Linked DNA regions of Lonchura striata. The protein of the gene in region 1 purifies or fractionates together with the protein of each later gene. This does not show direct contact. Links are inferred from orthologs where the notes say so. Each region holds a gene or a part of one and is shown in the gene's direction. Other genes may lie near its edges. The genes, in order: KMT2C, PAXIP1 and NCOA6.

Region 1 (3,741 bases):
CTCTCCGGCCGCGAGGCCGCGGCGCTCCCCCGCCTCCCCTCGGAGCCCGAGTCCCCGCTGGCCTCCGGGACACGTTAAATCCCGTGTAATGAGGCTTAACCCCGCCCCGCAGCCGGGCGGGCGGGCAGGCAGCCAGCCAGCCGGGCCCCAGCCCGGGGAGCCCCCCCGCCCCCAGCGCCCGCAGCTGTTCCAGCCGGAGCTGCTGGAAAGCGGCCACGCTCCCCAGACTTTGTCTCCCTCGCACACAGCGCTGAACTCTGCTCCCTCCCTCCTTCCCATCCCCCGGGGCGCCCGCGGCTCCCCCCGCCTGCACCGCCCCGAGCCGCAGACGCGCGGCGGGGGAAGGGGGAGCGCTCCCCGCCGGGCTCCAGCCGCCTGCCCGGGGGCTGCGCGGGGCGAGCGCTGCCCCCGGAGCCGCGTCCCGCGGAGGGCAGCCCGTGTGCGGCCGCTCGCATGCAGAAGGGGCTTTTCCTTTTCCACGGCGAAATTAATAAAAAGAAATAACAGGGGCGGGGGAGCGGCTGGGGCAGCGGTGCGGGGTGGGGTGCGCGGAGCTCCCCGCGGCGCCGCGTCCCGTCCGCGCCCCGCTCCGCGGTTTCCCCGCAGCCCGGCGCGGCCCCAGCCCAGCCCGTGAGGTCGGCGGGCGGCGGATGGGTGTCTGCGCCGGGGGACGGGCGGCGGGCGGGCGGGGCAGGCGCAGTGTGGGGCCGCGGCAGGGGAGGAGGAGCAGGGCGGTCGGTCGCTGTGTCTGTGTGTCGCACTGGCGGGGGGGAAGGGAGCCGGGGAGGCGGGGGTTACACACCAGGGCAGCGCCGGGATCCCTTCTCCACCCCGCGGGGAGGGGGCAGGGCGCCGCCTCCTCCTCCTTCCTCCTCCCCCTTTTTCACCCTTCCTCCTCCTTCTTTCCCCAAAGTTAAACTTCCTGCTCCCGGCCCGGCTGGGAAGGGGACGCGGAGCCCGGCCGGACTCAGCCCCTCGACACACACAACAGCTGGAGCTGTCAAAACTTCCTCCGCTCGGCCTCGGCCCCCGCCGCCTCCGCCGCCGCCGCCCGCTCCTCCTCCGCCCCCGGGGGCTCTGCGCGGGGGGAGGGCGCAGGGCCAGGGTACAATGAAGCGGCGGCCGCCGCAGCCGGGCAGCGCAGCAGCCGGAGCCGCCGCCAGCGCCCGGGGCCTCTGAGCGGGGGCGCCCAGCGGCGGGACCAGCCGCGTCTCTGCCGCTCGCTCTCTTCACCTCCCCCAGCCCCGACAGACCCCGCCGAGCCCGGGGAGGGTGTTATTGTGTGTGAGACCCTTCCTTCCGTCCTCTGCGCTTTCTCTTCGCCCCCCCCTTTCCCTCCTCCTCCTGCTCTCCCCATGCTGCTCCCCCTGCTACCTGTGCTGGTCGGCGGCGGCTGAGGCCAGCGATGCGAGGCGGAGGTGGAGGAGGCGGAGGTGAGGAGGAGAGGAGCCGCGGGAGCAGGAGGAGCATCGGGATCCCCATCACCATCCTCATCTTCATCCTCATCATCATCATCCATGTGTCTCTCTCGTCCTGCTGACTAGGATGTCAACGGAGGACAAGAGTCTGGTGGTGGCGGTGGTGGAGCCGCCTCAGCAGCAGCAGCAGCCCCCCGAGCCTGGAGCTCCCCCCCCAGCAGCAGCAGCAGCAGCCACAGACAAAAGACCTAGGGGCCGGCCTCGCAAAGATGGCGCTTCCCCTTTCCAGAGAGCCAGAAAGAAGTAAGTTCAGCGTTTGTGTGTGCGAGGCAGAGAGGGGCCGGGGCAGGCGGCCAGGCGCAGGCAGAGCTGTCAGTGGAGACTCGCTACTCGCCCCCTCCCTCTGCCTAATGCCATTTTGAGAAGGGCCCTTCTTTCTTCTCCTCCTCTCCCCTTTGCACTTTCCCCTCCTCCTCCTCCTCGTTTTTCACCTTTGTCTTCCTCCGCCCGCTCACCCTTTTCCACTTTTCTTTCACCATCCCTATTCCTTTCTTCTCCTCCTTCTTCGGAGTTTCTCTTTAGCTCTTCCCCCTCCACCCTCTTCCTCCTTTTCCCCTTGCCTTTGCACCTTCCCCCTTCTTTTTGGGTCCGTTCCCTTCCAGGACGCTCGGCTGCCTTCAGCGTCGCCTGGGTAGTCCCTGTGCGCTGACGGTAGTTCCTCGTCGCTTTCCCTTGTTATGCCCCCCCCCCTCCCCTTCTCCTCCTCTTTTTTGGGAAGGAAAACACGGTTCTGGGCGGGTGGCGGGCAGGACACCCCCGCGCCCCCGCGGAGTTGAGGCAGGAGTTTCTCGGCGGCGCGGGGAGCTGTCAGCGGCCGCCGCACGGAGGGACGCGCCGGCGGGACGGTGCCGGAGCACCGCAAACCCGCGGAGCATGGCGGGGGAGCCGGCTCCCGGCCGCCGGCAGCTCTCCCTCCGCCGCGGCCTCTCCCCGCCGGGGGCGCGGGCGCTCGCCCGCCCCGGCGCCTCCCCCGCCCCGCCGGGCGCTCCCCGGGGGCCGGCCCGCTCCCGCAGCCCCGGGCGGGGATCCCGCAGCCTCGGGCGGGGATCCCGCAGCCCCGGGCGGGGATCGCGCCGCGCCGCGCTGCCCGCGGACGGAGCGGGGGTGGCCGCGGTGCCCGGGAGAGGCCCCGGCGGCCGCTGCCCGGGGAGCGCCGCTGCCGCGCTGGCTCCGCTCCCCGCGGGTTATTTTAGAGTGGGATGGAGCTTGCCATGGCATAGCTGATGGCAGCGGTAATAGGGCAAAGCTCCACGTTTGGCCGAGGAGCGGCAGGAGGTGACCAGAGCGGCTCCTGCGCTGTGCGGTCCGTCCGAGCCTCGGGGTTCAGAGGCTGTTCCTTCCCTTTGTTTTGGGGGACGCGCTCGCTTTGACAGTGCCGTGTTTGCCCTGGCTCTTCCTTAAACATCCTGGCCCATCCCAAACATCATTGTTCATTTCCGTGCCAGAATCATTTCGGTTGGAAAAGACCTTTAAGGTCAAGCCCGACCATAAGGTCACAGTGGAAGTCCACAATATGACAAGGGATTCTGCTGGGCTGGACCTAAACACATGCAAGGACCGTGCATCTTTTATATGAGTTCGTTTTTACAAATATATAAGTATCCCAGGACAGAACTATCATTAGTTTGGGATACATGATTTTTTGTTCTTGTTATTTCCATTGATGAAAGTTTACCTGCAAAGATTTTCATGTCACCTCTGGTTTTGGGGAAGGTGTGTTGTTTCCAGCTCCCTCTTTTCATTATCTTATGTATTTTCCTGATAGAATTTTTAATACAGCTGTCGTTGAAAGTAGTTGGCATATGTACACGTGGTGAAGTTCTTGCGTTCATCTCCTTTATGCTTAGTTTTACATACTTTGGTTTTATTTTTACTTACAGAATCCAAACCTTACATAGGAAACCTTTGAATGTTTTATTTTGAAGGAAATTTTTCTGAAGAAAAATCCAAATGCAACTGAAATGTACCAGTCTACACAAAAAAACCCCTAAATAGTGTTATGTGTGAAAATTGGCATATCTTGTTAGGCCAGTTTGAGGTTGTATATGCACTCTTGAGGAAAAAATGTATGTGTTAAAGAGGTAATTCCTTGCCTTCAGATAGGTTTTTGGTGTCATGGGAATGTTGTTGCCTAGGTTTTGGGAGAAATAAAATATTCCTGTAAAATATGAACTTATTCTGACATGATTATAAGGATTTATGTAAAAGTGGGAAATTAAATTAGCTGAGACAAAAATTAAAATGAATCAATACTCTTTTTGTT
Region 2 (3,741 bases), about 1.1 Mb from region 1:
ACCAGTAAAATATTGTCCAGTAAAAGTAAATAAATGACTGGGAAACCAATTTATGTTTCTACCATGGTTTCAAGAATCACATAGGTAAGAAAAATAGTTTCCTCCTGGGGAAGTGGGACAGGCCTTGCAGGCAGGAGGGTAACAGTATTTTTATTTTTACAGGTGCCCTGTATTTTTATTTCACTAAGTCTTTCAATGCCATCTCTTAACATTGCTCTGAGTGTGGGAGGGAGTCATTGTCCACTTCAAAGTATTACGAGGATGTTCAAAACTCTTTTGGAAAGCTGAGTGCTTATTATATAGATAAAATGATATATTATCTAATATTTGTATTTTAAACATCCTTGTCAATGCAGCACTGTTTAAAATATATGACATGAAGCAGGCTCTGAAAGTGCTCGTTTCTTTCTGTTGACTCCAACCTATAGAAAGTAATAATAATTGTTTTCTGTTACCTAAAATAGGTAAGACACATCCCCCTCTAGGTGGGAACGCTTCACTATCAACGTAGATGGATGCTTTGCAGTTTCTGAGGGAAAATACTTTATTTCGGTGGGGCTCGATGACCTTAGAGGCCTTTTCGCACCGTAGCTCTGATTTCGGGAGCAGTCGGTAGGTTCACACATGAGCTGGCCGGTGGAACAGACCCACGCATTGGCGGGCGCTGGCTGCGAGGGGCCGCGCCGCCATCGCCCGCGTCCCCTCACGGCGGGGCCGAGGGCGGGGCCTGGGCGCCCCGGGGCGGGGCCAGGGGTGGTTGCCTTCCCTCCCCCGCCAATGGGCGGGGCCGGGTATCCCCGCTGCCCGCCTCTGTCGTTCGGGGCGAGTCCATTGCATCCCGCGCGGGGGGAGCTGCGGACCCGGATGCTGCCTGCCGGTCCGGTTCGGGGAAAGAGGGAGGAGCAGGGATAGCGCCTGTGGATCAGAGGCGGGCGCGGCCCTGCAGCAGCCGTGGTGGCTGATCGGGCGGGGGGAGCCGCTTTGCGGGGGCGGCTCTCCCCTCCCCCTTCCACCCCCCCTACGTCCCGGTGGGGGATGGTGTGTCCCGCAGCGCGCGCCTTGCTCGCGCGGTTCGGCGGCTCTGCGGGGGGAGGGGGACGGGAGAGACCCGGGCCCCGGCGGGTTTCGCACGGTGAGCGCGGGGAATAGCGGGCAGGGGGGAGCGCCCGCTGCTGCCGTCCGGGACCATGTTGGCGGACGACGAGGAGGAGCTGAAAGTCCCGGAGGAGATGTTCAAAGACGTCAAGTTCTTCGTGGTGGGAGACATCGACCCCAAGGTACCGGGTCATCCCTTCTTATCATTCCCGCCTTCCCTTTCGTCTCCCCCCCATCCCGACGTGGGGGGGGGCACAGTGGAACCGTCCGGCTACCGCGCGCGGGCTCGAGGCTCGCGCCGCCTCACGGGGAAAGGGCGGGAGCGGGGGGAGCGCGCGCCTGAGGGACCGGGCGGGATGGCTGAGGGGGGGAGGGGAGGCGGCCGGTCCAGATCCCGGCCCCGATCCCGGCCCCGATCCCGGCTGTGCCCGCGGGAAGCGCCGCTGCCGCCGCCATGGGAGCGGCGGCCCCGCCGCGCAGGCCCCGCCGGAGCCGCCTGAGCGGAGGAGGAGCGGGCGGAGGGACTTCCTGTGCTGAGCCGGGCCGGGCCGGGCGGGCAGCGGGGGCAGCGGCCGGCGCTCCTCCGATTCGGGCGCTCCGCAGGCCCGGCCCCTCCCTGTGCCCGGTTCCGTACGGGTACGCAGGGACGGGCCGTGGGGAAGGCTGGTCACGGCGGGCCGGGCTGGCTCTGCCCTCCCACACAGACCTTCCCGCCTTGGCGCGGCCCCGAGCCCGGACCCGCTACCGCCCCGGGGCCGCCGCTGCGGGGCTGCTGTGGGTTAGGCCGGGGGCCGCCCGCCCCTCTCGCCCTGGGCAATGCAGGTGGCCTGGCCGTGAGTAACACCCGTGGTGGGCGAAGGTGGTTGAAACAAAGTTTTGTGGCTTGTCCAATTAGATGCTTGAAATGCAACCTGCGGAGGTTTAGGACAGCGGCTTCCTGCAAGCAGGTTACTGCCTGCTTCACGCTGAAGTTAAAGTTCTTTGCCTCTCTGGTAGTTGCTGTAGTAAAGTCTTAGTTCAGTGTTGGTTTCCTTTATCATCCTGTCCTGACGCTCACTAGCTGTGTCCTGGAGGCACAGTCACTGGCCTGTTCAGATGGATTTCATTCCTATTGTGCTAAAATAAATACAGTCTAGGAAGAATGCAGTTGACAGGATGAAAACTTCTTTAGACAGGTTTCTAGATATAAAACTTAGTTCTTTAGGCATTAGGTCTTTAGAGATAAATTTTTTGATAGTGGGTTAGCACTCAACAGATTCCTGTACTTACCAAAAAACCCTACAGCAGCAGTTAGTATTATGTGTATGAGGGTGAGTGCAAAAATCCTGTAGCACTGTTGTACATAATTTGTCATTGGAGTAGTGTCTTGAAAAGCCTGTTTTAGTCATGTGTTGACATGGGAGGACAATTAGCAGATTTTCCATAGAGCAAATAGACAAGCATTCTCTTAAATTGGTTTTCTTTCTCATGCTAAATTTTATTGTTCTTTGCAGTCAGAGTCATTGTCATAGAGCTTTGATATGCTCCAAATTTGGTGCATTGAATGTTCCTCTGCCTGGCTTGGAGGCTGAGCCCGGTCAGAGTGAGGAGCTGGGCTGGGCTGAGCTCGGGGCCAGCTCCTGGGAGAACCCTCTGTACCGGCTTCAGCCCAGCTGGCAGCTAAGCACAGCACAGCTGCTCTCTCACCCCCACCCCTGAGCAGTGTAATGGGGAGGACATTCAAAAATTAAACTTACAGGTTGAGATATAAAAGCAGCTTAATAATTGAAAACCAGGTAATGGTAAATAATTGAATACAATGGTAATGGTAAATAATAATGCTAAGAAAAAGGGAAATAAAGGAAACCTTAAGCAAGTGAGGCACAATACAGTTGCTCACCGTGCACTGACTGATGCCAGACATCATTCCTGACCCCAGATCAGCCCTTCTTATGGGTAACTCCCCCAGTTTATATAGTGGGCATGACTTGCTTTGGTGTGGTTGGCCAGTTTGGGTCACCTGTCCAGGCTGTACTCCCTCCCAGCCTATTTTATAACTCCTTACTGGCAGAGGAAATCACAAAAAAAGTAGTCCTTAGGATAAACACAACTTAGGAAAAACCAAAACATCAGTGTGTTACCAACATTATTTCCATTCTGAATCCAAAACACAGAACCATGGCAGCTACAGAGAATAAATTAACTTTATCCTTGCTGAGACCAGGACACCCTCCTGTGGGTGTCCTCTGTGGTACCCTGGGACACCTGAGTACGAGGAGCGTTTATCAGGTGTGTTTTGAGCCAAGACAGAATACAGAAATTGTAAACCAAACTCAATCAGTTCTTAGAGTGAAATTTGTCCCATGACAAATAAAAAAGTTACAAATATCTTTGGCACTTTTTACTGCTTCACATACAGGTGGATGCCAGCTTGATTTTGCAGAGAATTTCCTCCTTCATCTTCTGGGAAGGAGCACACTTTGATCAACTTAAATTTCTAAATAGTTTCACAGAAAACCAGTTACTGTAATAAATATTAAAACACCTAGCACAAGTGAGCATGCTAATCAAAACAGATTCAAGAGTAAGAAGAAAAAAAGTAATTTTTTTTCAGGTGAATAACTGCATACCTACATTAAAGCATGTGCAGCATAAATTGGAAGGGAA
Region 3 (3,741 bases), on another chromosome or scaffold:
CGCTGTGTCCCGGTCCCGGTGTCCCCGCTGTGTCCCGGTCCCGGTGCCCGTGTCCCCGCTGTGTCCCGGTGTCCCCGCTGTGTCCCGGTGCCCGTGTCCCCGCTGTGTCCCGGTGCCCGTGTCCCCGCTGTGTCCAGGTCCCGGTCCCGGTCCCGGTCCCGGTGTCCCCGCTGTGTCCCGGTGTCCCCGCTGTGTCCCGGTCCCGGTCCCGGTCCCGGTGTCCCCGCTGTGTCCCGGTGTCCCCGCTGTGTCCCGGTCCCGGTGTCCCCGCTGTGTCCCGGTCCCGGTGTCCCCGCTGTGTCCCGGTCCCGGTCCCGGTGTCCCCGCTGTGTCCCGGTCCCGGTGTCCCCGCTGTGTCCCGGTGTCCCCGCTGTGTCCCGGTCCCGGTGTCCCCGCTGTGTCCCGGTGCCCGTGTCCCCGCTGTGTCCCGGTCCCGGTCCCGGTCCCGGTCCCGGTGTCCCCGCTGTGTCCCGGTCCCGGTGTCCCCGCTGTGTCCCGGTGTCCCCGCTGTGTCCCGGTCTCAGTCCCGGTGTCCCCGCTGTGTCCCGGTGTCCCCGCTGTGTCCCGGTCCCGGTGTCCCCGCTGTGTCCCGGTCCCGGTCCCGGTCCCGGTCCCGGTGTCCCCGCTGTGTCCCGGTCCCGGTGTCCCCGCTGTGTCCCGGTGTCCCCGCTGTGTCCCGGTCTCAGTCCCGGTGTCCCCGCTGTGTCCCGGTGTCCCCGCTGTGTCCCGGTCCCGGTGTCCCCGCTGTGTCCCGGTGCCGGTGTCCCCGCTGTGTCCCGGTGTCCCCGCTGTGTCCCGGTCCCGGTGTCCCCGCTGTGTCCCGGTCCCGGTCCCGGTCCCGGTCCCGGTGTCCCCGCTGTGTCCCGGTCCCGGTGTCCCCGCTGTGTCCCGGTGTCCCCGCTGTGTCCCGGTCTCAGTCCCGGTGTCCCCGCTGTGTCCCGGTGTCCCCGCTGTGTCCCGGTCCCGGTGTCCCCGCTGTGTCCCGGTGCCGGTGTCCCCGCTGTGTCCCGGTGTCCCCGCTGTGTCCCGGTCCCGGTGTCCCCGCTGTGTCCCGCGCTCTCCCCGGGGGTCGCGGTGCCCCCCCCGCCCCGCGCGCTCGGGCGCAGGCGCGCGCGGGTCACGTGCGCGGCGCAGGCGGCGGAGCGGCGCTGGAGTCCCGGGCCGCGCGCGACCCCCGCCCCGCGCGCCCCCGCGGCTCCGCGCGCGCCCCCGGCGGCGGCGGCGGCGGGTCCAGGTGAGGGGAGGGCGGGGCGGGGCGGGGGTCGGCACGCGGCCGCGGCGGGGCCGGGGCCGGGGCCGGGGCCGGCCCGGGCGGGGCGCAGGCCGAGCCCGCGGCGCGGGGGAAGGGGCGGCGGGGCCCGGCGGGGCGCGGAGCGGAGCCGAGCCGGTGGCCCGGGCCGCCGGCGGCGTCTCGGCGGTGCCGGCGGAGCCGCGGCGCCCGGCCGGAGCCTGTCAGCGCGCGGCCGAGCCGCCCGCGGCCCCGGCGCGGAGCCGCCCCTGCCCGGCCGCGCTCGGCCCGGCCGCGCTCCCGGGCCGCGGCTCGGCCCGGCCCCGCCGGCCCGGGAGGGACCGCGGCCGGGCCGGCGGCGCTGTCCGGCGCGGGCGCTGCCCGCGGGCCGGCCGCTGCGCGAGCCGGTCCCTCTGCCCTGACCTCATGCGGGCGGTGACGGCTTTGTGCCGTGTCAGCCGGGGCGCGTTGACGTTTCGCTTTTGTTCGCGTCCTCGGTGAGTCTTAAACCAGTCGGAAAAAGGCTCTCCACTCCTCCTCGCCGTGTGATTTCTGCGTTTCTCTAAATGCCAGCTACTTTAAAACCATCTCAGGAAGCTCAGAGCTCTGCTTCCTTCCCGCTGCTTTGGGGAATGGAAGGACAGAGCTCTTCTGTGGCTCTGCATCCTGGCAACAGGTTGGAGCTTCATGAGCTTTGTCTCTCCATAACCCCTCAGCCTCCTTATAGACACATGTTTGATCATTCCCCTCACTGGGAACTGTAGGGAAACCTTTATACGAGGTTTTATTGTAGTAAAACCTCTCTTAGAAGAACGTGCCTCTTGGTGGTCTTGTAATTATTGTGTGTTGTTCTGGCTGGATTTTTAGCTAAGGCGCCTTTCAGTATTTCCTGTGTGTGGAAACAAACACAAAGAACAAATCTGGCACCTTCCATAAAGGTTACCAAGTGTAATGACCACAAGATTTGGATTTGGCAGCTCTTTTCAAGTTGTAGCAGATGGTCCCAGCTTTTCTAGGTATCTTGTGGAGCGAGAAACAAAGGTTTTGAAGCGTGTGTTCAGAAGGGCCAGGTCTGGGCCTGGCGAGGTGTTTGCCAGAGATTCTAAGTATCCACTGAGCCCTGTGGCTTCCTCTGAAACTTACCTGGCTCCAAGAGGAAATGTTTTATAGTAACACTGTGTCCGGACTCTCCTGGGAGAGGAAAGATCCGAACGTGAGGGGCTGGCTGCACGCATACCTCATCTTCAGTTGAGAAATTACATTTCTTAGTATTTGAAACCCAAGGAAGGGTCTTCTGTTAGGCATTGGATTTGGGCTGAAAATCTCTCAGCAGCGCTCTCCAGCCATTTTCTCTGGAAGGCCTGTCCTTCTGTAGTAGGACTTGGAGGACTTGTAGGACTTGGTTGTTTACAACAGGCTTCCAGGTGATGGAGTAATTTAACATTTTTCTAGTAAAAAAGTAGATGCTTCTCTGACATAAGAATTCCAAGTCCTTGTGCATCTGGAAGTGTTGGTGTTTCCATTTTTCAGTGGCTTAAATATTTGACAATACAGGTTGTGGAGGTAAATTGTGCTGAGCAGCTGTAATGCCACTCTTTGTGCTGCCTGAGCACAACAAAGGTTCCTGCTTTTATGGGAGATGTTAAATGTTTCAGTGTGATAACTAAACCTTAAAGTGGCAGTATATTTTTATTTTCTTAGTACAAGAGCAATTGCTTTCGGATGGAAGCTGGAGTTACCACCCAATTAGACACTCACTAAATTTACTAGATTTGCAGTGGCAAAGGATTTGCTGCTGAAGGGATTGAAGAGTTAATGTGACTGTAACAGTTTGCATTGAGAATGGCGAAATTTTATAGGTTGCTAGCGAACCTCTGAAGGGCAGAAGGCATGATGAGGGTGTCTTTCAAAGTCCTGTGGTCTCTGTTGAGAAATGCAAAGCTGTGGTGCAGGGACAGTGTGAGGGAACAGGAGGCCTGCTGGTTGTAGAGCACTGAGCAGCAGGACTTCACCCTCAGTGCTGCAAAAACTGTATTCAAGCCTCAGCTTTTTCCTTAATGCACCAGCTGGACCAGAAGGAATGAGAAAGAATGTGTAGGGCTGGGAATAGGTGAGGACCAGCAGTGGAAGGAGAAATAACCCCAGGTGATACCAAGTTGAGGCAGCAGGGAAGATGAGGTTTTCCATCTCTGGGTGAGTCTCTCCATTTCCACCAGCCAGACAAGCAAGTCACCTTTGCTTTAGCAGAGCCGTGGATATTTTGTGCTTTGTCTTGACACTGTTGCAGACTCTGTTGTCCCCTCAGGAGCAGGTCTCTGATGTTCTTCAGGAGGAGCCACCCATTAATTGCAGATAACTGAGCATTTCAGCCACGGAGTCAGCGTGTTCCTGCATGGAGAGCTGGAGGTTTAGCTCAAGAGGATGAAGATAACTTAGATTGTCTTGTGCCCATGCTAATTAGAGTAATGCTGCTGGAGTTTAAAATTAATCTAAGATTTGGATTATGCAGGCTG

The links.
Region 2: the proteins of KMT2C (region 1) and PAXIP1 purify together in Homo sapiens (affinity purification with mass spectrometry; 4 studies listed by BioGRID and IntAct, with this or other methods). This does not show direct contact. The link is inferred for Lonchura striata from reciprocal best matches to the Homo sapiens genes KMT2C and PAXIP1.
Region 3: the proteins of KMT2C (region 1) and NCOA6 purify together in Homo sapiens (co-immunoprecipitation; 7 studies listed by BioGRID and IntAct, with this or other methods). This does not show direct contact. The link is inferred for Lonchura striata from reciprocal best matches to the Homo sapiens genes KMT2C and NCOA6.

What each region holds. Positions count from the first base shown.
Region 1 is NC_134603.1:150,420,613-150,424,353, forward strand, and holds the start of KMT2C (histone-lysine N-methyltransferase 2C), read left to right. Parts: upstream 1-1,129; 5' UTR 1,130-1,433; exon of another isoform or gene 1,434-1,544; 5' UTR 1,545-1,545; coding exon 1,546-1,721; intron 1,722-2,046; exon of another isoform or gene 2,047-2,211; intron 2,212-3,741. UniProt on the Homo sapiens protein: Histone methyltransferase that catalyzes methyl group transfer from S-adenosyl-L-methionine to the epsilon-amino group of 'Lys-4' of histone H3 (H3K4).
Region 2 is NC_134603.1:149,369,856-149,373,596, forward strand, and holds the start of PAXIP1 (PAX-interacting protein 1), read left to right. Parts: upstream 1-961; 5' UTR 962-1,187; coding exon 1,188-1,277; intron 1,278-3,741.
Region 3 is NC_134619.1:14,165,108-14,168,848, forward strand, and holds the start of NCOA6 (nuclear receptor coactivator 6), read left to right. Parts: upstream 1-1,162; 5' UTR 1,163-1,234; intron 1,235-3,741. UniProt on the Homo sapiens protein: Nuclear receptor coactivator that directly binds nuclear receptors and stimulates the transcriptional activities in a hormone-dependent fashion. Coactivates expression in an agonist- and AF2-dependent manner.